Nothobranchius furzeri: one gene and its partners. The main gene of each other region encodes a partner of the protein of the gene in region 2 in a complex. Links are inferred from orthologs where the notes say so. Each region holds a gene or a part of one and is shown on either strand. Other genes may lie near its edges. The genes, in order: upf3b, eif4a3 and casc3.

Region 1 (7,216 bases), on a different chromosome or scaffold from region 2:
CCAGTACTGCACACAACAACCACAGATGTACAGTTGTGCAGCCTCACATACTGTGGCCTGTTGGTGAGGTTGTTGATGGTCCATGCAGTCAGATGTTTGTACTGCTGCACTCCTAATCTTCAGCAGTAGACACGGCTGGATGGTGTTGAAGGCACTTGAGGTCGAACATGACTCTCACGGTGCTTTTTTGCATCTCGAGGTGAGTCAGATTCCGGTGCTGCAGGTAGATGACGTGTCCTCCACCTTCATGTTTGGTTTATATGCAAATTGCAGTGGGTCTATTTCTGAGCTCACCACTGAACATAGATGGGTGAGGATGAGTCTCTCCATCATCAAATCTGTTAAAAAACAGGTTAAGCTCATCGGCCCAGTTCTGGTCCCTTTCAGCAGATTCACTGGCACCACTCCTCCCACTGTGTCCTGTGATGTCCCTGAGACCTCTCCATGCACCGTGTTCTGCTCCAGCTTCTTCTTGAAAAAAAAAACCTTCCCCCATCTGATCTGACCCATCTAAGCTCCTTTTGGACTCGTCTCTGCTCCTCTTTATCTTCAGCCATCGTTCAGCATGTATTTCAGCTCAGGGGTCGACCAGGGTTTATTGTTCCAGAAACACCTCATTCTTCGTGTTCGGACGGTGTTCTCTACGCAGTGTGTCAGGCTGTCAAGGCCATCGCCATGAGCGCTGCAAAGTGTCTCCCAGTCTGTGGTGTAGAGTCCTTCAGCCTTTCTGTTGCTCCCTCAGTCCACACTCTCACGATTGTTCACTGAGGAGGTGCCCTAATTGCCCTGGGTATGTATTCAGGGATCAGATGAATGAGGTTGTGATCTGAGCAGCCGAACGGAAGGTGGAAGTGTGTGTGTTTTGTCACATTAGCGTGCAGGAGATCAATTGTCTTACTGTCTCTGGTGTGGCACTTCAAATATTTGGTAAAGGTGGGGAGAGTGGAGGAAACCGAGGTGTGATTAAAATTCCCACTGATGAGAATGAGTGCCTCTGGGTGAGCCGTCTGGAGCTTCTCCACAAAACGTTGTAACTGCTCGCATGCAGCAACTGCATCGGCCGAGGAGTGGGCGGGTGTACACATCACTGTAGAAATAGTCAGGTATTTTTGATTTATAGGGTGCTGGAGTGTGCCCTCGTTTTCTGAAAGCTGTTCTACAATTGAAGGAGTTTATTATAATGAAGTTTTTATTAAAATAATAACTACAAGCAGCTTTGCATGAAAACGAAGCTTGCTATCTCCGGGAACACAACGTCAAATATACGACGCAAAAAAGTAGAAAAATCAACTTTTGCAAAGACTTTTTAGTCAGAAATGTAGCCTCTTTATCAGTATCACCTTTAATGACATATTAGTAATAAAAAAGGGATAAGGCCACATGTTTATCACTGATTGTTTATATACATGCGGTCACGTGGCAGTCTACTTAGAAATGGCTAATTCTCCTCCAGGTTTCCATAGTAACAAGCATACCACAGAATCCCAGACCAGATCAGTTTATGATGCATAGGTACTTTATCTCAAACTATTAAATATCTCACAAGAAAAATCCAGAAATCACCTTGAAGAAACCACGTGTTGACATAGTGAACATTATAAATTTATTTTAGAGTGATTTAGATAACGAGCGTGAAGGCACCTTTTTTGCAGAGTGTAAAACACTTTTCCTCCAAAGCGATAATGCTGAATTAAGTTCACTTTGACATCACATGGTCCCCAAAACTTTGGCTTCCTTGAATGTGCCCTACAGCCAAACTCCTTCAGAAGGTGAATCGTTTCTTCTCCTAACACAGACCAAAGAGGATCACACCTCTGCCTCCGAAACTGGGAGCCCTGCTTAATCAGTGGAGCGCGTGGCTCCGAGACGCCATACTGCTGCTCGCAGGCCTGTCTCTTCACCTAACTCAAATGAACAAAAGCAGAGGTCTGCTCAGTCGTCTACTTTCTCAGCCACGTTCTTGCTCTCAGTATCTGGTTTTCTGTCGGCAGAGTTGGATTCTCTTCTGTCTGCTCCTGGTGTGGCACGGTGGCGGCTCCGGGCCCCTGGCTGGTAAAGCTGAATGGCGGGTCGGTCCTGTTGCAAATAATATAAATAAAATATTACAAAAGGAAAACAAACTCAGAAATTATTTGGCACAAGTGTGAGAAATAACTGGAGTCCGTACCTTATTCCGCAGTCGCTCCCTTTTGCTGCTCTCATCCTTTTTGTTCTCTTTGGCAGCCTTCTCCGTTTTCTCACCGCGAGGGGAATCTGCCATGTTTTCATTCCTCTTCTTCTCCAACGCCTTTTCTTTTTTAATCTCCTCTTCCCGCTTCCTGAACGTGTTCTCTCCATCATGCTGCTCCCTCCTCCTCCGTCTTTCCTCGTCCTGCCGTCTGAAGCGCTCCTTTTCCCTCTGCCGCCGCTCCTCCCGCTCTCTGTCTCGATCAAAGTCCCGCTCCCTGAATTCCTTTCTCCCACTTTCATCTCTTCTAAAAGGAAATCACAGCTGGAGTTAAATCAGTTAAATGTACAAACAAAAGTGCAAAATGCCAGGAAAAAAAGAACAAGAACTGACTTTCTTTCACGATCCTCCTTGTTCTCGATGTTATGTCTCCTCTTCAGATCACTGAATGACCGGACCTCTTTATGTGGCTTCTCTGGTTTCTTGGACTTCTCTTTAGGCTTTTCAGACTCTGCTTCATCATTTCTATCTGGTTTCTTCAGGAGCTGAATATAAAGACACAATCATCATGAGAAACTTGAAATTGACAGATGCATTTTTTTTTTTCACTGCACGAACCTTAATTTTTGGTTCTTCCTTAACGTGGTCCTTGTCTTTCTCCGGCAGTTTCTCAAGTCTTTTCATCTTCTCAGCCTCTTTCCGTTTTCTCCTCTCCTCCTCCCTCCACTTGCGACGCTCTTCGTCACGCAGGCGCTTGCGTTCAAGCTCCCTCCTTCGTCTCTCCTCTCTCTTTTCCTCCCTGATTCTCTGAAAGTTAAAATAGAAAGTTTGATGGATTCTTGCTAACATGCAGTTGAACCAATTTATCCTAAACACCAAAAAACGATTACCACATGCTTACCTGTTTATTCTTCAGGTAGTCCAACAAGGGCGTGGTCTTTTTAGCTAAAAGAAAGGGGAAGAAACCCACAATAAGAAATCTTGTCAAATGCAATGCTCCTGTTTACATACAAGCAGTTATAACAGTCCCATTTTTGGTTCTTTTTTAAACACAGATAAGGTTTTTCTTTACCTTGCTGACGTTTCGTTTACGGCTGCAAACATCTTCAGAGCTGACGCTGATGGTGGCGTCACTTCCTACACATCCACATCAGCGGCAGCTCTGAAGATGTTTGCAGCCGTAAACGAAACGTCAGCAAGGTAAAGAAAAACCTTATCTGTGTTTAAAAAAAGAACCAAAAATGGAATTTGAAGACAAACACAGCAAGTGATAACGGTGCTGTCATAAACAAACCTTCAAGTTCTTTTGATCTGGCCTCGATCTCCTCCAACAAGGTCTCAGGCGTAGATGTCAGCTTCTCTTCGTCTCCGTTGTAATATTCAAGAAATTTTTTATAATCAGGATCTGATAAAAACACAAACATGCTGAGCTATAGATTTTTATAGATAGATCTCAAAATAGATATGTTAGGGACGAACATGGAGTTTCTTCAAGCTTATTTCTTTTTATAACAGAGAAGATCAAAACCACCAGACAGTTTAAACCCTTGCCTTCAGTAATTGTTCCACACTTCGAGTCCTTCTTCTTACTTCTTTTCTTGGCTATCTTTTGAAACGGCGCAAACTCCACAATGGCTGGATACTCCTGTCCTGTTGAATGGCCAAACATAAACAAGGACAGTCTCAGGTCAACGCTCTGGAACACTTCACAGAAAACTGGGTGTGTGTTCTTGATACCTCTGTTGTCTATGAACACATATCCATCGAATCGATCTCTGAAGAGAACAATATCATCTTCATTTTTGAAACTGATGTAAGCCCTCGCGAAGAGATGGGGATACAGGCTAAAATGACCGGAAGTGCCATGTTAGACCAACACAATGAAGGAAATGCTAACAGTCATTTTACAGGTGAACTCACCTGGTGTCGTTTGAGAAAAACTCCATGTAGTCCACCTCTGGGAGAGGCTGCAGCTGCTCCTCTAACTCCTCTTTAGACAGACTTGGTGGTAATCGTCTGATTACAATCTACGAACACATTGTAAAAAGTTCACTACCTTAATTACTAAGCAGGGCTTTGTAAAATGAAATTTTGGTCCAGTCTTTAAATGTATAATTTCAATCGTAGAACATTTTATCTGAAAACAAAAACAAAACAAAAAAGTTAAACCATGCTTTTATTTAATAGAACTACACGAATCCAAAACTGACGTCTGTAGCAACATTAGCTGCTTTAGCTAGCAAGTTTTACCTTTGTCATGGCCTCTTTCTTTTCTTTTGACTTCTCAGTCTTTTCTCCATCTTCACACTTTAGCTCCACTTTTTTCTCCTTCGGTCGAGTGTTTTCTTTGTCTTCTTTCATAGCTGAACGTCTACAGAGATCCACAGCCTGCTCTCATCTCACTCAACAGACTTGTTTACTTTTCAGAGAGTTAGCCAGCTAGCAGCTAGATACTAACCGCTCGAAACTTCCTTTCTGACTACTGAAGCTGCATTTACAAGTTTTTACCAGGAGGTGGCGCTAAATACAAAGCAATTACACATTTAAAAAAAAATGTTTTTGGTAATTACTATTTTCGGTAATTACTGGTAATTATATTTTTGTTAATGTCCATTCTAAAATATTTTTCTATAGTAAATTTTTTTGTAGAGCTAGGGTTAAGTCTGATGTAAAGTTAAGATTGAGATATGTCTACTGTCCACTTAGTGACACTAGACATCTTTTTATTGGAAACATTGCATTGTTTCCCTATTTGTGTTTCAAATTTTCCTTGTTCGTTACTTTTATGTATTTGATTAATGTATTTTGTGATACGTTTATCCCACGACCCTGCATGGACTAACAGGTATAGAGAGTGGATGGATGATACTTTTATTTTATTTATCTTTTAATAGTATTACCAAATTGTATCTTTATCTGTTTATAAAGTTACTCTATCTATCTATCTATCTATCTATCTATCTATCTATCTATCTATCTATCTATCTATCTATCTATCTATCTATCTATCTATCTATCTATCTATCTATCTATCCATCCATCCATCCATCCATCCATCCATCCATCCATCCATCCATCCATCCATCCATCCATCCATCCATCCATCCATCCATCCATCCATCCATCCATCCATCCATCCATCCATCCATCCATCCATCCATCCATCCATCATCTAGTAAAGTAAGTAAGTAAATTTATTTATATAGCACTCATCAAAGACAGAAAACCACAGTGCTTCACATAGATCAAAACAAAACAAATCATAAAGTCATAAAATCATAATGATCTTAAAAAAAGATTAAAACAGAAAAGTTAAGTCATTAAATGATAAAATACCATAAAACAGATGAAAGATGATTTCTAATTTTGAGTTAAAAATAAGAAAATAAAAGATTTAGGTAAAAGTAGCTTTAAATAAAAGGGTCTTTAGCTGTTTTTTTAAAAGTGTCTAAACTGTCAATGCTACATAAAGATAAAGGAAGATCATTCCAGAGTCGGGGTGCAACAGTCTGGAAGGAGCTATCCCCTCGACTTTTATATCTGGTCTTTGGAACATCTGGAACGTTCTGGTGAGTGGACCTGAGGGCTCGGATTGGAGCATAAGGCTTTAACAGTTCAGTAATATAGGGCGGAGCTTGACCATGTAGAGCATTGAAAGTTGTCGTCGTCGTCTTCCTCCGCTTATCCGGGTCCGGGTCGCGGGGGCAGCATCCCAACTAGGGAGCTCCAGGCCGTCCTCTCCCCGGCCTTGTCCACCAGCTCCTCCGGCAGGACCCCAAGGCGTTCCCGGACCAGATTGGAGATGTAACCTCTCCAACGTGTCCTGGGTCGACTCGGGGGCCTTCTACCGGCAGGACATGCCCGAAACACCTCCCCGGGGAGGCGTCCAGGAGGCATCCTGACCAGATGCCCAAACCACCTCAACTGGCTCCTTTCGATCCGGAGGAGCAGCGGTTCTACTCCGAGTCCCTCCCGAATGTCCGAGCTCCTCACCCTATCTCTAAGGCTGAGCCCGGCCACCCTACGGAGGAAACTCATTTCGGCCGCTTGTATCCGCAATCTCGTTCTTTCGGTCATTACCCAAAGCTCATGACCATAGGTGAGGATTGGGACGTAGATCGACCGGTAAATCGAGAGCCTGGCTTTCTGGCTCAGCTCCCTCTTCCCCACGACAGATCGGCTCAGCGTCCGCATCACTGCAGACGCCGAACCAATCCGCCTGTCGATCTCCCGATCCCTCCTACCCTCACTCGTGAACAAGACCCCGAGATACTTAAACTCCTCCACTTGAGGTAGGACCTCTCCCCCGACCCGGAGGTGGCAAGCCACCCTTTTCCGGTCGAGAACCATGGTCTCAGATTTGGAGGTGCTGATCCTCATCCCAGCCGCTTCACATTCGGCTGCGAATCTACCCAGCAAGAGCTGAAGGTCAGAGCTGGATGAAGCTAGGAGGACCACATCATCCGCAAAAAGCAGAGACGAGATTCTCCTGCCACCAAACTCGACACACTCCACACCTCGGCTGCGTCTAGAAATTCTGTCCATAAAAGTGATGAACAGAACCGGTGACAAAGGGCAGCCCTGGCGGAGTCCAACCCTCACTGGGAACAGGTCCGACTTACTACCGGCTATGCGGACCAAACTCACGCTCCTCTGGTAAAGGGACTGAATGGCCCTTAACAGAAAGCCACCCACCCCATACTCCTGGAGCGTCCCCCACAGGGTGCCCCTGGGGACACGGTCATAAGCCTTCTCCAAATCCACAAAGCACATGTGGATTGGTTGGGCAAACTCCCATGGCCCCTCCATCACCCTTGCAAGGGTATAGAGCTGGTCCACAGTTCCACGGCCAGGACGAAAACCACATTGCTCCTCCTCTATCTGAGATTCAACTATCGATCGGACCCTCCTCTCCAGTACCTTGGAGTAGACCTTTCCAGGGAGGCTGAGGAGTGTGATCCCCCTATAGTTGGAACACACCCTCAGGTCACCCTTCTTAAAGATGGGGACCACCACCCCGGTCTGCCACTCCCTAGGAACTGCCCCCGA
Region 2 (7,216 bases):
ATTAAATATGAATAATTCCACATCCCCCCGTAACGCGCTCGCGTACCACTAGGGGTACGTTTACCCCTGGTTGGGAATAACTGGACTAGCGCAACAGCAAAACCAGATCAGATCATCGGACAAGGACCTGTGTGGGTTCTGACCTTTCTCTTGGTGTTACAGAAGATGACGGCCTGAGTGATGGTCAGCGTGTCGTAGAGGTCACACAGAGTATCAAACTTCCATTCCTCCCTCTCCACGGCAACAAAGAACTGCTTGATGCCCTCCAGGGTCAGCTCATCACTGGGGGAAGGACAGCGGACTTTACCAACGTCGGCTCCATTCTGAACCAACTCCTGGACCCGACGAGTTTCTTGACTCACCGTTTGACCAGAATGCGGATCGGGTCAGTCATGAACTTGTTGGTCATCTCCAGAATCTCGTGCGGCAGCGTGGCGCTGATCAGGACCACCTGTGTGGCCGGGGGCAGGTACCGGTACACGTCGTAAATCTGCTCCTTGAAGCCTGAAAGGCACAAACGGACACGTGCTGAGGGACTCCTGGCGACCAGCACCAGGTGGATCCAAGTCCATCCAGGCGGTCCACCTGCTCAGCCTCACCTTTGTTCAGCATCTCATCTGCTTCATCCAGAACCAGCATCTTGATGGCCCGGGTTCTCAGACTCCGGCGCCGAATCATATCTGCGAAGAGACAAGCGGTCAGATATCAACTCTGACATCATCGACCAATCAGCCAGGAGCAATTCAGCAAAACAGATCACATGGTCATGACGCAATGAGGTGCCCAGTTCTGATCGGACCGGGTCTAAATGAACTTCTGATAGGGATGCACCGATGGATCGGTATTTGATCGTAATTGGCCGATAGCGCCCCTATCGGTTTTGATCGGAATTTTCAAAATAGATCAAAGCAATCCGATCAGGTAGAGTTGTCACGGTAACCAGTGTAGCGGTAAACCCCGGTAAAAAAAAAAGGTTGACAATAATAATAACAGTCTTGTTTTTAAAAAAAACTATTATTATCTCAATGGGTTTACCGTGGCTGCGGTGTAGGCGCGGTGACCCTTACCAGCCACCGTATCATCGGCTGAAGTTGCCGGCGGCACAGACGCACGCTTTGTTTACAAAGAAACTTTCTTGAAGCTAAAGCTGAAATAATGGTCAAAGGAGGAGACGGCAGCGCTCAGGAGGACATTTATTATCCCTCAAAGAAGACAAAGTCGGAAGTACGGGCATATTTTAGATATTTGAAGAATGCCGAGGGAGTTTATGGAAGACGGCTATCCTGTTTGCAGCACGTGCAGAAAAAGTGTCTGTGAAAGGCAGCAACGCTTCAAATCTCATGACACATCTGCGTGACCATCACCCACAACTCTACAGTCAACGCAAGGCAAGCTAACGTTAGCGTTTTAGCTCAAATGTGTGATCCGAGGATTTGGGTTGAGGGAGAACGCAACGAGTCGCTATATAAAGCAGCCGCAGCGCCGCTACCTGCATATAAACCGTGTCGCGGACACCGCCATGTTGAAATGACGCTATGCATTACGGGGCTCCCAGGGGCAGATAAGAGTTGGTCTCTCTCCGAGAATAATTATGAATTTAACAACGATTACTGCCTGATGACATTTTCCCACATCTGCAAAGCTCACTGGAAGGACACGAACCGAGGACGATATTTTCCTGATATAGGGTTTATTACTCAAGTAAGGGTAAAAAAGTATCTGATTAGAAGTCTACTTGAGTACTGAGTATCATCTGGTCTAATATTTTTAAAATGATGACATCAAACAGACATAAAATAAGAAGTTATGGGCAAATATTGGTATTTTAAAGACCAAAGGGGAAAAATGTAAACAAATAAACAACATAATTACAAAATAACACATTTTAGGCAAAATTTAGACACAAACTGAGGACAATATTTCCTGACATACAGGGTTTATTTAATTGTGTGAAAATGTAGCACGTTTAAAAAAAAATACCGCGATAATACCGAAAACCGTGATAATTTTGGTCACAATAACCGTGAGGTTAAATTTTCACACCGTGACAACCCTAATACAGACCATTTTAGATTAGGTTGCATTTCCTTTATTCCCAGATTATGTAGTTTGTAGCACTCATTATAATGTTGTAGAAAATTTCTGGCCAATCCACGTGATCGGTATCGGTGATCGGTATCGGTGATCGGCAGCAAAAAACCTGATCGGTGCATCCCTAACTTCTGACACTATGTGACAAAACAGCCCATAATGCACTGGGCCAAGCTAAAGGGGCAAGCTATAGGCTTGGGCTATCTCCTGGACTCACATTACAGCTCTCACAACTCAGGTCCAGAACCAGAACAGAAGAGAGGGGGGTCAATAACTTCCAGGTTCTGGATCTGGTCTGACTTATTCTGCCGTGATGCAAGTTGGATTCGTATACTTGCACCAACACCACGAGTCAGTTCATAACTGAGCACCTATCACAACAGCACCATGGGAACCGAACAGGTCCGACAAGTTCCAACAGGTAGATTTACGATGACGTCACAGGTGATGTCTTTATGATGCAGATGGAGGAGGACTCACCAAACACACGGCCAGGAGTGCCGGCCACCACGTGCTGACCATAGTCCAGCTTACGGATGTCCTCTCCCACATTGGTCCCTCCGATGCAGGCGTGACACTGGACGTTCATGTAGTCTCCCAGAGCCAGCAGCACCTGGACAGAAGACGAGCAACCAATCAGAAACAGCCACGCATCACCAGAACAAGGGCAGGTGTGACGGAGGGACAGGATTACCTTCTGAATCTGCCCAGCCAACTCTCGAGTTGGAGCAAGAATCAGAGCCTGGGTCTCCCTCACCTGTGACAAGAAACGCATCACAGCATGATGTCATCAGTTTCAGCCGAGAACAGTTGAGTTTAAAACAAATAAAAACGTTTTTATAGACAAGATCACGGGTAGATGAGTAGGTCTAACCCCAACCCTGGGGTCGAGCAACCTGCAACACCCCCGATTACTGGGTGGTGGGTGTTCAGGTTCGTGACCGCAGCTCTGGCTGCTGCTGAACACCCACCTGGATGTCTAGACACTGCAGCACAGAGATACAGAAGGTGGCCGTCTTTCCAGTTCCAGACTGAGATCTGTGAGGAGCAGAGACCAGCAGTTAGACCCCATCAGGACCTGGTCAGTGGTGAGACCAGACATGGACTACTTACTGAGCGATGACGTCTCGCCCTTTGATGATCTGTTTGATGGCTCTCTGCTGGATGGCTGACGGCTTCTCAAAGCCTGAAACAGAACGAAGACTTGGAATCAGTCAGGAGGTCCACCAGATCTGTCGACTCCACGCATCTCCATCGTGCTTCTGCTCGGGTCCATCAGTGAGATTTACTTTCTATGCAGCAGCTGTTTTAACTCAAAAATGACCAGATCGTTGGGTTCAGCTGTGGTTGAATCGGAGTTTGCTGAAGCCTCAGTTACAGCAGCAGCAGGGAAGCAATTAAAATATTTACACCAGGCAGGGATGCACGATATATCAGCATCAGTATCGGCTGATGTTAGTAACTTTTTATCATTTCGATGTCGGTCTGATAAGTTAAACTGGGCCGACTTAAAAAAAAAAAAGTCCAAGTCCCTACTTTAAGTATCAGTCTGAGAGGGTGAGGTGGTTGAGATGGATTATCGGCCATAATAGCATCATTTATATCCGATATTGGCCCAAAGTTTCATACGGTGCATCCCTAATTTGTACAATGCAATTTAATACTCGACTTTCACATAAAGACAATAAAAACTAATCCAGAAGGTTTATTTTCTCAGAACTGTTCACAGACCAACAATATATATGAACGTTTAGAATAGATTAATGACTTTTTTTTAAAGCTAAAATGTTTTGGAAAGGCTAAAAACCTCCATCACGCAGTTGGATAAAGCCCCGGGGCTTCTTCACTCCTAAATCCGCCGATGGTCCGGGTCCGGGTCCAGATCAGACCGGTATGACCCTAACTACCAACAAATGGTTAAATAAGCAGAAACTAACATAAAAATGTCCCTAAACAATCGTTTTAATCCAAACCACTTCTCGACACCGAACAACGGGCGGCTCGAGCTTCCCTCTGGAGGCCGTACGATCCCCGGCCTACCGTAAGCGTAAATCCCGCGAAGCAGATCCTCCCGGAGCCCCATCGTGTCGAACGTAGGAGTGACGTCCACCTCCTCACTGGTCTCGAACTCCACCTTGGTCATGTCCTCCTCTTTCAGGAGCCTCTTCCTGCCCTGTGTCCCGGCAGAAGCCATCTTCCTAGCGCCTTTTTGTTCGGTCAAAACCTCCCGACTCCGGTATCAACAGTTCACTGCGCGGCGTTGCTAACTGCTAATAGCCAATAGCCACACGCGCGTGTCGCCCTGGTGGTGACGTATTCAACAGGCGACGCGCTGTGCGTCTCCCGCTGTAAAAGCGCGTCATAATAATATTTATGGACTTTTATTTACAGCTGAGGTTTTGGTGTAGGGTTAAAATAATCCAGAGATTTTTAAACCAGGCTGCAGTTTGTTCTGGAAATGAATTCTGGAATCACAAGAAATTAAAAAAAAAACTTTTTTACAAGTAGTTTATTTTTTAAGCCCCTAAAAAATTACTAAATTATCCACAGATTTAAAACAATTAAAAGACAAAGATAAATAACATTAAAAACAAGAGATCTTAAAACAAATGCAAGTTCATTAAAACAAAAAAGAAAAACTAAAGGTTTAATCAAAAGCTATTTTAAATTAGTCTTTAGCTGCTTTTTAAAGGTGTCCAGACTGCTAACACAAGATTTAGGAAGTTCATTTATTCCAAAGTCGAGGGTACAACATCCTGGAAAAAGGCATCACTTGGACCTGGTTTTTGAAACTTCTAGAAGGTTCTGGTTTGTAGACCTGAGGGCTCGGTTGGAGCACATGGCCTTACTGGTTCAGTAATATAGGGAGAAGCTTGACCATAGAGCCCTGAAGGTTACGGTCAGGATTATAAAAGGAATTCTAAAGCGAACCAGTGCCGACATCAGAATAGGAGTGATTTCAGAAATGATAAAAACAGTTTAGACACATAGCTATTTTTTAAAGAAAACTGTGGGAAAAAAATCTGAGATCTGGTCTGGAGCCTCATTCCTCTCAAAACACACGTTACCGGACAAAGCCTCAGAACCAGGAATAACCAAACTCCCTCTGATCCAGTCCTTACCAGAACTAGACCGGTTTATGTAGAGGCTAACTCTTGACAAGAATTCATTGAACTTTGTGGAAAAAAATCATTTTATTAGTTTTTTTTTTTTTTTTACCAAACAGCAGAGATAAGTGATTTGGAAATCCCTTCCAGTCAGTCATATAACCTTAATAACAGCTAGCACCTTCTCTAAAAACCATCTGCACTATAACAGGCGTTATTAACATGAAGCCATCAAAGAAATCCAGTTTAAACACAAAACTCTTTATTTAAAGGTGGTTCAATGTTTCAGTCCAACAAAAATGTGACGTAGTTCCAACAGGTGCTCGAGTCATTTGTTGTCAGGCTCAGGAAACTCCAGAGGGTTCATGTTTAGCATCAAATCTACAGTCAAACCCCCTTTAGAGGGTGCACACTTGTTTATCAGACCGCTTGATCCTCACTAGGGTTTTAGGTTATGTCAGGCAAGAAGCTAGGGACACCTGGACAGGTCTCGAGTCCATCACAGGGACACACAGAGACAACCAGTCATACCTAGGGTTAACCTATAACATGCATGTTTACAGCCTGTGGTCAGGAAACCTGTGTACAGACTACCGAGTACTGTTCAGAGTTTCTGCGATGGCATTTAATCCCAAACCAGTTACCCACTCCAGATCCAGCAGGAAGTATTCCTGAAGGCTTTACAGGGATAGGTCTGGAGTGATGTCTTCAAGAGAGTCAGGAATACACACAGATGTCACAGATGTGAGGACTCCATCCTGATTGGTGCCTCATCCATCAGCTGGTGGAGTTTGCGTGTCCCAGGACTGTCGTCAGGTCTGTGAAACCCTGCCCACACCAGCAAATGCAGCAGAACATTCATTTGGACCATGGGACTGGGATCCGTGTAGAGTCCGACGAACAGGATGAGTTTTAATCTGAAGATGACTTCCTGTCAGTTATCCCTGATTGAAGACACCCCCCCCCCCCCCCCCCCACACACACACACGTGAATGCTGAGCATCACATCTGTCTAGCGATCTAGTTTCAGTTTCTTGTTAACGGAGTGTCCTTAAAGGCAGCATCAGCGGTCTGTAAACGGGGTCTAGTTCGAGTCCCGTCTCACAGTCCAGCAGATCAGGCTGGAGGTCATCGCTGCAGAGCCTGAACAGGTGAGTTGTCTGGAAAGCTTCTGAACACCAAACACTGAAAACCTGGAAAGGTTTAAATCCTGACAAAACTAAAGACCTAAATCACAACACCGAGACTACAGCTGGCTCATCTCAGGGGCTTCAACTTTGAAAAACAGGTTCCCACTTCCTGTCTTCTCAGTCCCATCGAGGGGGCGGGGGCTCATGATTAGACCTGGTCCTCAGGTGAGTGACCTGACCACGTGGCGTCATAAAGAGCTGGAACCTTCTGCTGCCCATCAGCAACAAGGCTGGTGGGAAAGTCATGTGACCCTCAATCGTCCTTTGATTGGTGGACGTCAAGACTGACAACCTGCAGCTCCGCTAGGCTGCTGCTGTTGTTCTGTTGGCTGATGACCATCTAAACAACAAATAAACAACAAAACAAACCATAAACAACAAATTCATTCAAAAGCTAAACAATAACAAAACAACAGATACCACAAAAATAACAAATACAAACAACGAACAACAACAAAAGAAGACATACTACAGTAAACAACAAATAACACAACAACAATAAAAGAAACAATAAAAACAGATAAACGTAAAGCTTAACAATAAAAAACTAAAACAATAATAAACATTGTGTGTGTGTGTGTGTGTGTGTGTGTGTGTGTGTGTGTGTGTGTGTGTGTGTGTGTGTGTGTGTGTGTGTGTGTTACCGGGTGCAGCTGCACGGCAGAGACTGGGATCTGAGCAGCGACAGGAGGCAGAGAGGTGAGGAAAACCTGCGGGATGACGGCTAAAACACAAAAACGGGATTGCGTTGACTCCAACGTTCTGACGCGGACACATTTGTCTTTAACGTTTTCCGTTGCATCATACCTGGGTCATGTGACTGGGCGT
Region 3 (7,196 bases), about 3.9 Mb from region 2:
ATATATATACACATATCTACCTATCTATCTATATCTCTATCTCTATATCTATTTATATCTATGTATAACTATCTCTCTCTCTCTCTCTCTCTCTCTCTATATATATATATATATATATATATGTATGTATAGGGGAGCTGAAACAACTAATCTATAATCAATTATTGGAAAAGTTGACAACTTATTTAGTCTTCGACTAGTTGTTTTATAATCACGTTTTATTGTAAGTCTTCTATTTTTAAGACAAGCTGTTAAATTTGCAGCCAGTGTGTGGCAGTAATGAGTCACTGATCTAACAGTGGAGCAGCAGAAGAAGCATCAGCCAATAGGCACCCTTGATTTTCATGACGTACCACACACATGGCTGACGCGCATGCTCACACTGAGGAATATGAAACGGTACAGGAGAAAAACAGAAACCATAAAAGTGAAGAAAAAACCAGAACAAAAACATCTAAAGTATGGGAACACTTTACTCTAGATGCCGTGAAAAGACGGGTGACCTGCAAGATATGCAAAAACGATCTAGCATGGCACGGAAATACAATTTCTCTAAATGAACATCTGAGACCAAAACATTTCGGAGTTGATGCAGCAGAAGAGCCAGCCCGGTAAGAAACTTACACCTAATGAGAGAATATACATGCAGTGGTTCCTCACTATAACGCAGATCACTGTTTGTGACTTTGCCGTTTCACTGAGCTTGTTATAGTACAATTTTACACCAGGGTTTCCCCCAGCGCTTTGCTTGGCGGGCCGCCAGACTAAGCATCATGCTCCACCCCCCTCCCTGACTGTGTCCACTGACACGAATGGCGCAATGAAACTAGAGCCCTCCATCAGCTGATACTGGTGAGAAACAGCAGCGGAACATGTGCAACCACCCCACCCCTGCTCTCACGGAGGAGCACTAATAAAACCACTTTGACTGTATTCATTTTTTTAGTTAGCCGTTGTCTCCTGGTAACACTTAGCGTAATGCCGTCTAAAGTGGATTTTCTGAGTCCTGCTAGATGGACACAGTATCAGACAGATTCCTGTATCGGGCCATCTATAATTCTGTAGATTCCAGTTCTTTAGAGAAAAGATGGAATTGGCCAAGTTTAACTCATTCACTGCCATTTGCATTTTTTTACTGTGTGGGCATAGGAACGAGTCCCCACACCGCGAGAACAAACATCTCAGCTCTAAAGCCAATCTTCATCTGCATACGGCACACATCAAGTGACCAGGAAGCAGAAAATCCATGTGTTAGGAGGTCCTTTTGGGCCACTGCTGTAAAACAAATAAATAAATAAATAAAAAATAAAAAAAGTGTGGCGCGAACCAGAAAAGCTTCTGCAGATCACAATTCAATAACGGATTATGAAAGAACAGATAAAGCTCGAAACGCACGGATTCTTCCTGCTGTAAGAGGTATCATCATCCTAGTGCGCAATGCTCTGTGACTCTTAAAAAAACAGTAAAAATGGCACACAAAAAAAAAACCGCTGGCAGGGAAGGGCTTTATCGGTCAGGAAACAGCTGGCAGCGAATGAGTTAATATCAGCTGCTCAAAGCTGTACAAATATCAGAAATATGTATAATTACACAAAATTTACATAGGTCCATTTTTTTATTTATTGTGCAGAAATTTATCAGAATTTAACCAAATGATAACCACCTCTTAAAACTTCCCATTATGTCAAATGAAGCTCAGACTAGCTCTGGAACAGAGCAGCTGAGCCAAATGAACATGGACAAAAAGACAACAAAGAGCTAAAAAGCTGTTTATGCATCAGAACCTGCTGACCAGATCCATCTGGATTTCCTGAGTCTCACCTGTCCATCACCACTCTGCCTCTCTCCTGTGAGGTTTTCCTTGTCCTCCCCCTTGGGCTCCTCCTTACTGTGTCCTTCTGCTTCCTCCTCAGCCTTCTCTTCCTCTTCCACCTCCTCCGGTTTTGGGTCGACAGCAACTGAAGGTTTGGGCTCACTGGTTGCTGCTGGAGCTTCCTCTTCACTGTAACCCTCCTCTTCCTCCTCTACCCCCTGGAAAAAGAATTTTTCAGAAACATCTCTTCTTCAGTTTGGTCTTTGAATTGGCATCCTTAGGTTGTTGTGCCAGATCTTTGACCAATCTGAACGTCTTTTCAATCCTACAGTCAAAAACAGACTCAGTTCTTGTCTGAGGGAAGGAAACTGGGAGTTGTGTTAGGCTGGATTTACCTCTGAATGGGAGCGGTTTTCCTCCGGATCAGCACTGTCATAATCTGAGAGGACAGCTGAACAAAACAGAGCCAGAGTCATAAAATCAGGAATCACCAACAACAAATCTAACGTGGAGCTGGATAACCAGGAGAGGCTCTTACCTTCTCCGGCTCCATCTTCACTCTCCTGCAATGACAAACAGGATCAAAATGACAACGTGAAGAATCTGGCTGCCTTTAGGTGTCAGGATAGACTCTTTCCTGGTGAAGGGGATGCTAGGTTCCTCATAATTTTACAGTGACATATGTGATGTCTGACTTGTAATCATTTTAATTATGAATTTTAACAAGCTAATAAATCTTAAATTACCTGACAGTTGAAAGAAACTCAAATCATTTTTAATTAACTCCAAGTACAACATACAAGTTATTCAGGGCTTACTGCAAAGCAGATTAGAACATAGCTTTTAAAGCCCCGTTCACTTGCATTCTTTTTTTATTTGTTCCAGGGACCCATGGACCAAACGAACAAGTAGGAGACTTTGGCTCCTTATTACTGTTGGCTCAAATACAAACACAGATGACAATAATGGAAAATATTTTTTAATCAGGACACTAGTTCATTTAACAAAGAGCGAGAAGTGTTCTCGTTAGCACGTTTTACTTGATGGTAAAAATCTTCTTTAGTTGAGACCTGGGTATCAAAACATGTTTATCCCCAATACATTTTGAAGTGATAATGTCCTCACGAACAATTATTTAGAAATCAACCCCTAAATAATTCATTTGACACATTTTATCTTAATGTAACCAAGTGTAATGCAGATGAACAAGTAAGGCCTGTAGCTAAAGGGTGGTACCCCAATGACATAAAATGTAGTGGACACTGAGGCCTTGAGACATGTCAAGCCCTCAGTCCCCTGATGGGTGAGGGTCAATGACTGCCTGGGTGAAGCTACTCAGTCATGGGAATCCAGCCTCGCGCATCTTCTGAATCAGAGTATTCTGATTTGTGATTACGAGATTTTATCTATGTCGTAACGCCCCTTAGTGCAACTGGGGCTAATCTGTGATTAATCAGAACTAACAGGGTCTTTAGATGTAATGGAACCACCACGGGTCTGAAGTCCAGCGTGGAGCCGCAGACTCAGGCGAATATCAGGGTGACTTTTAGCTCTTGGTTCGGCAGAAGAATCCACTTGGACCTCAGGTAACCATCCTCTATTCTCCAGTAACGGTTCTGAGAGACTGTTGGGACTGAGCCGGTGTTATGTCACATTTTGTTCCCGAGTAAATGTGGTTCAACTGCCACCTTTTCGTCTCAGATCATCGAACTACGAATGAACGACAAAACCCATCTCCTTACTGATGAACTAGTTAATCACCCACAGTCACGTCGAACCTAATGGTACCTCTAGAGAGCCTTAAGGTTTTTCTGGAAGCGGAATAAGTCAGAACTTTTAGCCCGAATTCCAAGCTTTGTGATGGACGGACCAACGTTAGCTGCTGGAGTTAGCCTGAGTAGCTACTCACACACTCGGACTCCACGTCGCTCTTCGCCTCGGTCCGGCTCTCTGTCACCTCCACTGGTTCGGGATCTCGACCTCGAGCCTTTGTCACGGGAGAACCCGACCTTCCGCTGTCCGAACCAGAACCGGACTCGTCGTCCTCGCTGTCCTGAGACGCGCGCCTCCTCCTTCGCCGCCGGTCCGCCATCTTAGGACTGGAATGGTTAGTAACGGAAAAAGCAACGCATTATGGGTAATGGTGTTCTTTTGGAGAGCAAATTCTCCCAGCTCTTTGATGTCTACTGCCGCCCTCTGGAAATGATTAGTACAACAACGATGTAATAACTATTTTAATTTGAACGTGTACGTGAATAAACTAAAGCAATTTTTACACATATTAGCCGTTACAAAAAAGTATGAATAATCTGGAACACCTGCACGTTAAATCAACAATGTAACCTACAAAAAACTGCTGGGAATCAAATTGTTGCCCTCATTTTCTAAGAAGATGCCAACTAGAGAACGTCCAAAGATCGGAAGTAAGTTGAAAAACTGAAATAGTGGCGTGTGTGTGTGTGTGTGTGTGTGGGGGGGGGGGGGGGGGGGGGGTCGTCTTTATGGTAAGTATGCTAAAAATATGTATAAAACTACAGGCTAGAAGGGGCTCTTTTATGCAATGTCAGGAATGCAGAACTGTCAATTAACATGTGCTCTGAAGTCACGTGGCTCTGATGCTCATTAATTATTCAGAATTTTAAGCATTAAATTACACTTTAAACAGAAGAGTGACAAAAAATCACCCCCTCAGAGTTGTCATGAATGTAAACTAGATCTATTAAACCTAAAGTGATTTTTTTAACCAGGCTGTAAACATGTTTTTTTTTTCTGCTGTGAAAATGGCATTTTTAACATGGGAGTCAATGAGGATTTGCTCACTTCTGGTAGAAGCCCCTTGGCCTGGCCTGCCAGACTCTTCCTCTGTTTAATTATGCACAGAGAGAGGGTGAAGAAAAGGCCAGGGGTCTCATTTATCAAACGTTGCGTAGAATCCTTACTAAAACCGTAAGCTCAGCAAAAAAAAAATGTACTTACGCCAAGTAGGTTTATGATCTATCAAACATGGAGTACGCACAGCTACACGCAATCTCCGCTTCATAAATTGGAGAATAATGAGAATGTTTCTCAGCTGCATTTTAGTCACATCCCGCCCTCACCACGCCCACTTACTGCCATAAATAGTCAATGCAAAGTGCCTTGTGAATCTTATGCATATACATAAGCCAGCTGTTGCAGCATTTCGATCACGACTGCAGATCAAGGAAGCGCTCTTTCACAAGCAGAAATTCAGGTACCTGTGGGTGAGGTGGAGAAATGAAAGGAAGTGCTTTTGTAAAACAAGAGAAAATTCACTCAGTGGCACAGCGTTGCTGAAGCCGTCAATGCTGAGTTCTTCAGAGAGATCTGTGGCGGATATTAAAAAAATGATCCGATCAGGATTCAATCCCCAGACTCCCGGATGAAAGTCATGCGTGCTAACCAGTCAGCCAAACAGAGATCTTCCTTGTACAAGTAGCCAGGGCGCATGATCAATCGGGTCACAGTGACAGGACACTTACATTGTCACTTACGCATGACATTCTGTATCAATCTGTCACCTTGCTAATTTTCTGCATTCCGTATTTTGCGCATCAGACTGTGTGTGTGCGCGCCAGGTGCACGCGCATGTGTGTGGGAGGTCTTGTTCCGTGTGAAAACGAAGCAGTACAAGGGATAATGCTCCAAGGCAGCTGTGGCTACATTGTAGCTCATCCCCACCAGCATGTAAATGTGTGTGTAAATGTGTGTGTGAATGAGTGTGTGAATTGGGGCATGACTGATTATGTTGTGAAGCGCCTTGGAGGGTTGTTGAACCGAGGCATTATACAAAAACAGGCCATTTGGGCAATATGCTTCACCTACCTTGCCTCCTGGATAGTCTGAGGGACCGTAGGCACCTATCAGGTCGTAACCTCAATTCTTTCAGCGAACCCCAGAATAGCTGTGGCTATTTATCTCAATCTGTGTGAATGTGTATGCGTGTGCTTTGGCGTCCTCTGGCTTAGATAGGTGCTATGCAAGAGCAGGCCATTTACCATATGTTTCACGGGTCAAAGAAGAGTCAGACCCCAGAAAATCCAGCTGACCTTGACCCATTTCATCGTCAATTGATCTCATTGTGGTTGACTCATTTCAGATTCAGACTTTTAAAACTAAACATGATTTATTTTATTGTTTTGCACAGACTCTCATCTCTCAAAACAGAAATCAAACATCACTAAATTAAACATTGCTAAATAACCAATCAGTTGGTTGGCTTTATCTGACTCCAGCAGAATAAATAAACAGAACTTCAACAGTTTGGTTCTGACAAAACTTGTAATGAATACATCTCATCATCAAACAGGTTTAAAAAGTAAAACTTTATGAGTTCATCATCATTAAAGTGGCATCTCTCAGTCAGCATTCATAACATAAATCATCCCTCTGAAATTTACTGAGAAATTCTCTTCAAGATGCTGAATGTAAGAATTAGTTTATTCACATGTTACAGAGTCTGTAAGTCCTACGACCGTTTCCTCCTCAAGGTGTTTCACCTGACGCTCATCAGAGACGATCTTTTTCTCAGGGAGAAGAGGCATCAAAATAGATTTCAGTCTCAAACAGGAAATGTACTCTTCTTCAGGCATCATGTGCAGAAGGTCAAAATTTAGCACCTCACTGCAACACAGAGGTCAAAGGTCAAACTGTTAATGAATGTAAAAGCAGCGTGACTAAACACCTTGAGTATAAAAAAAATGAAAGAAAGAAAACAAGGTCTAAGTGGAAGAATCGTGAAAAATTGAAAACAAAAACCAAAAAATATATTTTAAATTTTTTTGTTATTTATTGAAAGAAAATTATTTAATTTGTATAAAAGAATGAATAATGAAAAATAAATAAGTTAAATATTTTTTTTAATAATGGACCCATTCAAACTAAGTCTAATTAAAGAAGCTGATCAGTATCAACTGAGTTGGGTCCATGGAGCTGAGCATCAGTTAATTTAAAGCTGGTCTATTCGGTTCTGGGCCCAGGTGATTCAACCACTGAATCAAGTGTGTTGGAGCAGAGAAACCACTAAAACATGCTGGATACTGGCACTTTACTGGCCTGGTATTGAATAGCCCCAGTTTGTGGAATAGAGTAATACTTTATTCATCTCAGTGAGAAATTTACTTAATATGAACTCACCATGCAGCTGTGTCCAGGGGCAAAGGTCACAGCTTTCATCACTCTGTCCTGAGATCCACTGCTGCTGCCGCTCACTGAACTCTTCCTCATGATGCCTTCAAATCACAGGAACACAAGCATGTCCACACACGCACGCACGCACGCACACACACACACACAGTGAGTATGAGACAGTTATGTGATGTTGGTTTGCCGACTGCAGTGCATCTCCTTACTTGTAGGGCGCGAT

The links.
Region 1: eif4a3 (region 2) and upf3b share a complex: the UniProt entries of both Homo sapiens proteins name them as parts of the mRNA splicing-dependent exon junction complex. The link is inferred for Nothobranchius furzeri from reciprocal best matches to the Homo sapiens genes EIF4A3 and UPF3B.
Region 3: the proteins of eif4a3 (region 2) and casc3 are in contact, whole or in part, in a crystal structure (PDB 2J0U), measured with the Homo sapiens proteins. The link is inferred for Nothobranchius furzeri from reciprocal best matches to the Homo sapiens genes EIF4A3 and CASC3. Residues at the interface, in NP_055555.1 of Homo sapiens: Thr178, Arg179, Lys198, Ile201, Tyr202, Tyr205, Arg206, Tyr207, Leu208, Pro209, Pro210, Thr212, Lys231, Phe232; in NP_031385.2 of Homo sapiens: Arg217, Trp218, Glu219, His220, Asp221, Lys222, Phe223, Glu225.

What each region holds. Positions count from the first base shown.
Region 1 is NC_091741.1:85,712,532-85,719,747, reverse strand, and holds upf3b (regulator of nonsense transcripts 3B), read right to left. Parts: upstream 4,655-7,216; 5' UTR 4,529-4,654; coding exon 4,418-4,528; intron 4,195-4,417; coding exon 4,088-4,194; intron 4,012-4,087; coding exon 3,905-4,011; intron 3,818-3,904; coding exon 3,719-3,817; intron 3,573-3,718; coding exon 3,462-3,572; intron 3,113-3,461; coding exon 3,069-3,112; intron 2,975-3,068; coding exon 2,786-2,974; intron 2,713-2,785; coding exon 2,561-2,712; intron 2,475-2,560; coding exon 2,168-2,474; intron 2,077-2,167; coding exon 1,933-2,076; 3' UTR 1,501-1,932; downstream 1-1,500. UniProt on the Homo sapiens protein: Involved in nonsense-mediated decay (NMD) of mRNAs containing premature stop codons by associating with the nuclear exon junction complex (EJC) and serving as link between the EJC core and NMD machinery.
Region 2 is NC_091746.1:29,297,757-29,304,972, forward strand, and holds the start of eif4a3 (eukaryotic initiation factor 4A-III), read right to left. Parts: upstream 4,400-7,216; 5' UTR 4,286-4,399; coding exon 4,132-4,285; intron 3,278-4,131; coding exon 3,205-3,277; intron 3,130-3,204; coding exon 3,063-3,129; intron 2,849-3,062; coding exon 2,786-2,848; intron 2,705-2,785; coding exon 2,572-2,704; intron 681-2,571; coding exon 600-680; intron 505-599; coding exon 363-504; intron 283-362; coding exon 144-282; intron 1-143. Other genes in the region: serum response factor, read right to left, coding at 6,642-6,728, 7,033-7,112, 7,196-7,216. UniProt on the Homo sapiens protein: ATP-dependent RNA helicase. Involved in pre-mRNA splicing as component of the spliceosome. Core component of the splicing-dependent multiprotein exon junction complex (EJC) deposited at splice junctions on mRNAs.
Region 3 is NC_091746.1:33,208,334-33,215,529, forward strand, and holds the start of casc3 (protein CASC3), read right to left. Parts: upstream 3,949-7,196; 5' UTR 3,906-3,948; coding exon 3,723-3,905; intron 2,377-3,722; coding exon 2,352-2,376; intron 2,265-2,351; coding exon 2,209-2,264; intron 2,032-2,208; coding exon 1,822-2,031; intron 1-1,821. Other genes in the region: serine/threonine-protein kinase WNK4, read right to left, coding at 6,452-6,454, 6,968-7,062, 7,183-7,196. UniProt on the Homo sapiens protein: Required for pre-mRNA splicing as component of the spliceosome. Core component of the splicing-dependent multiprotein exon junction complex (EJC) deposited at splice junctions on mRNAs.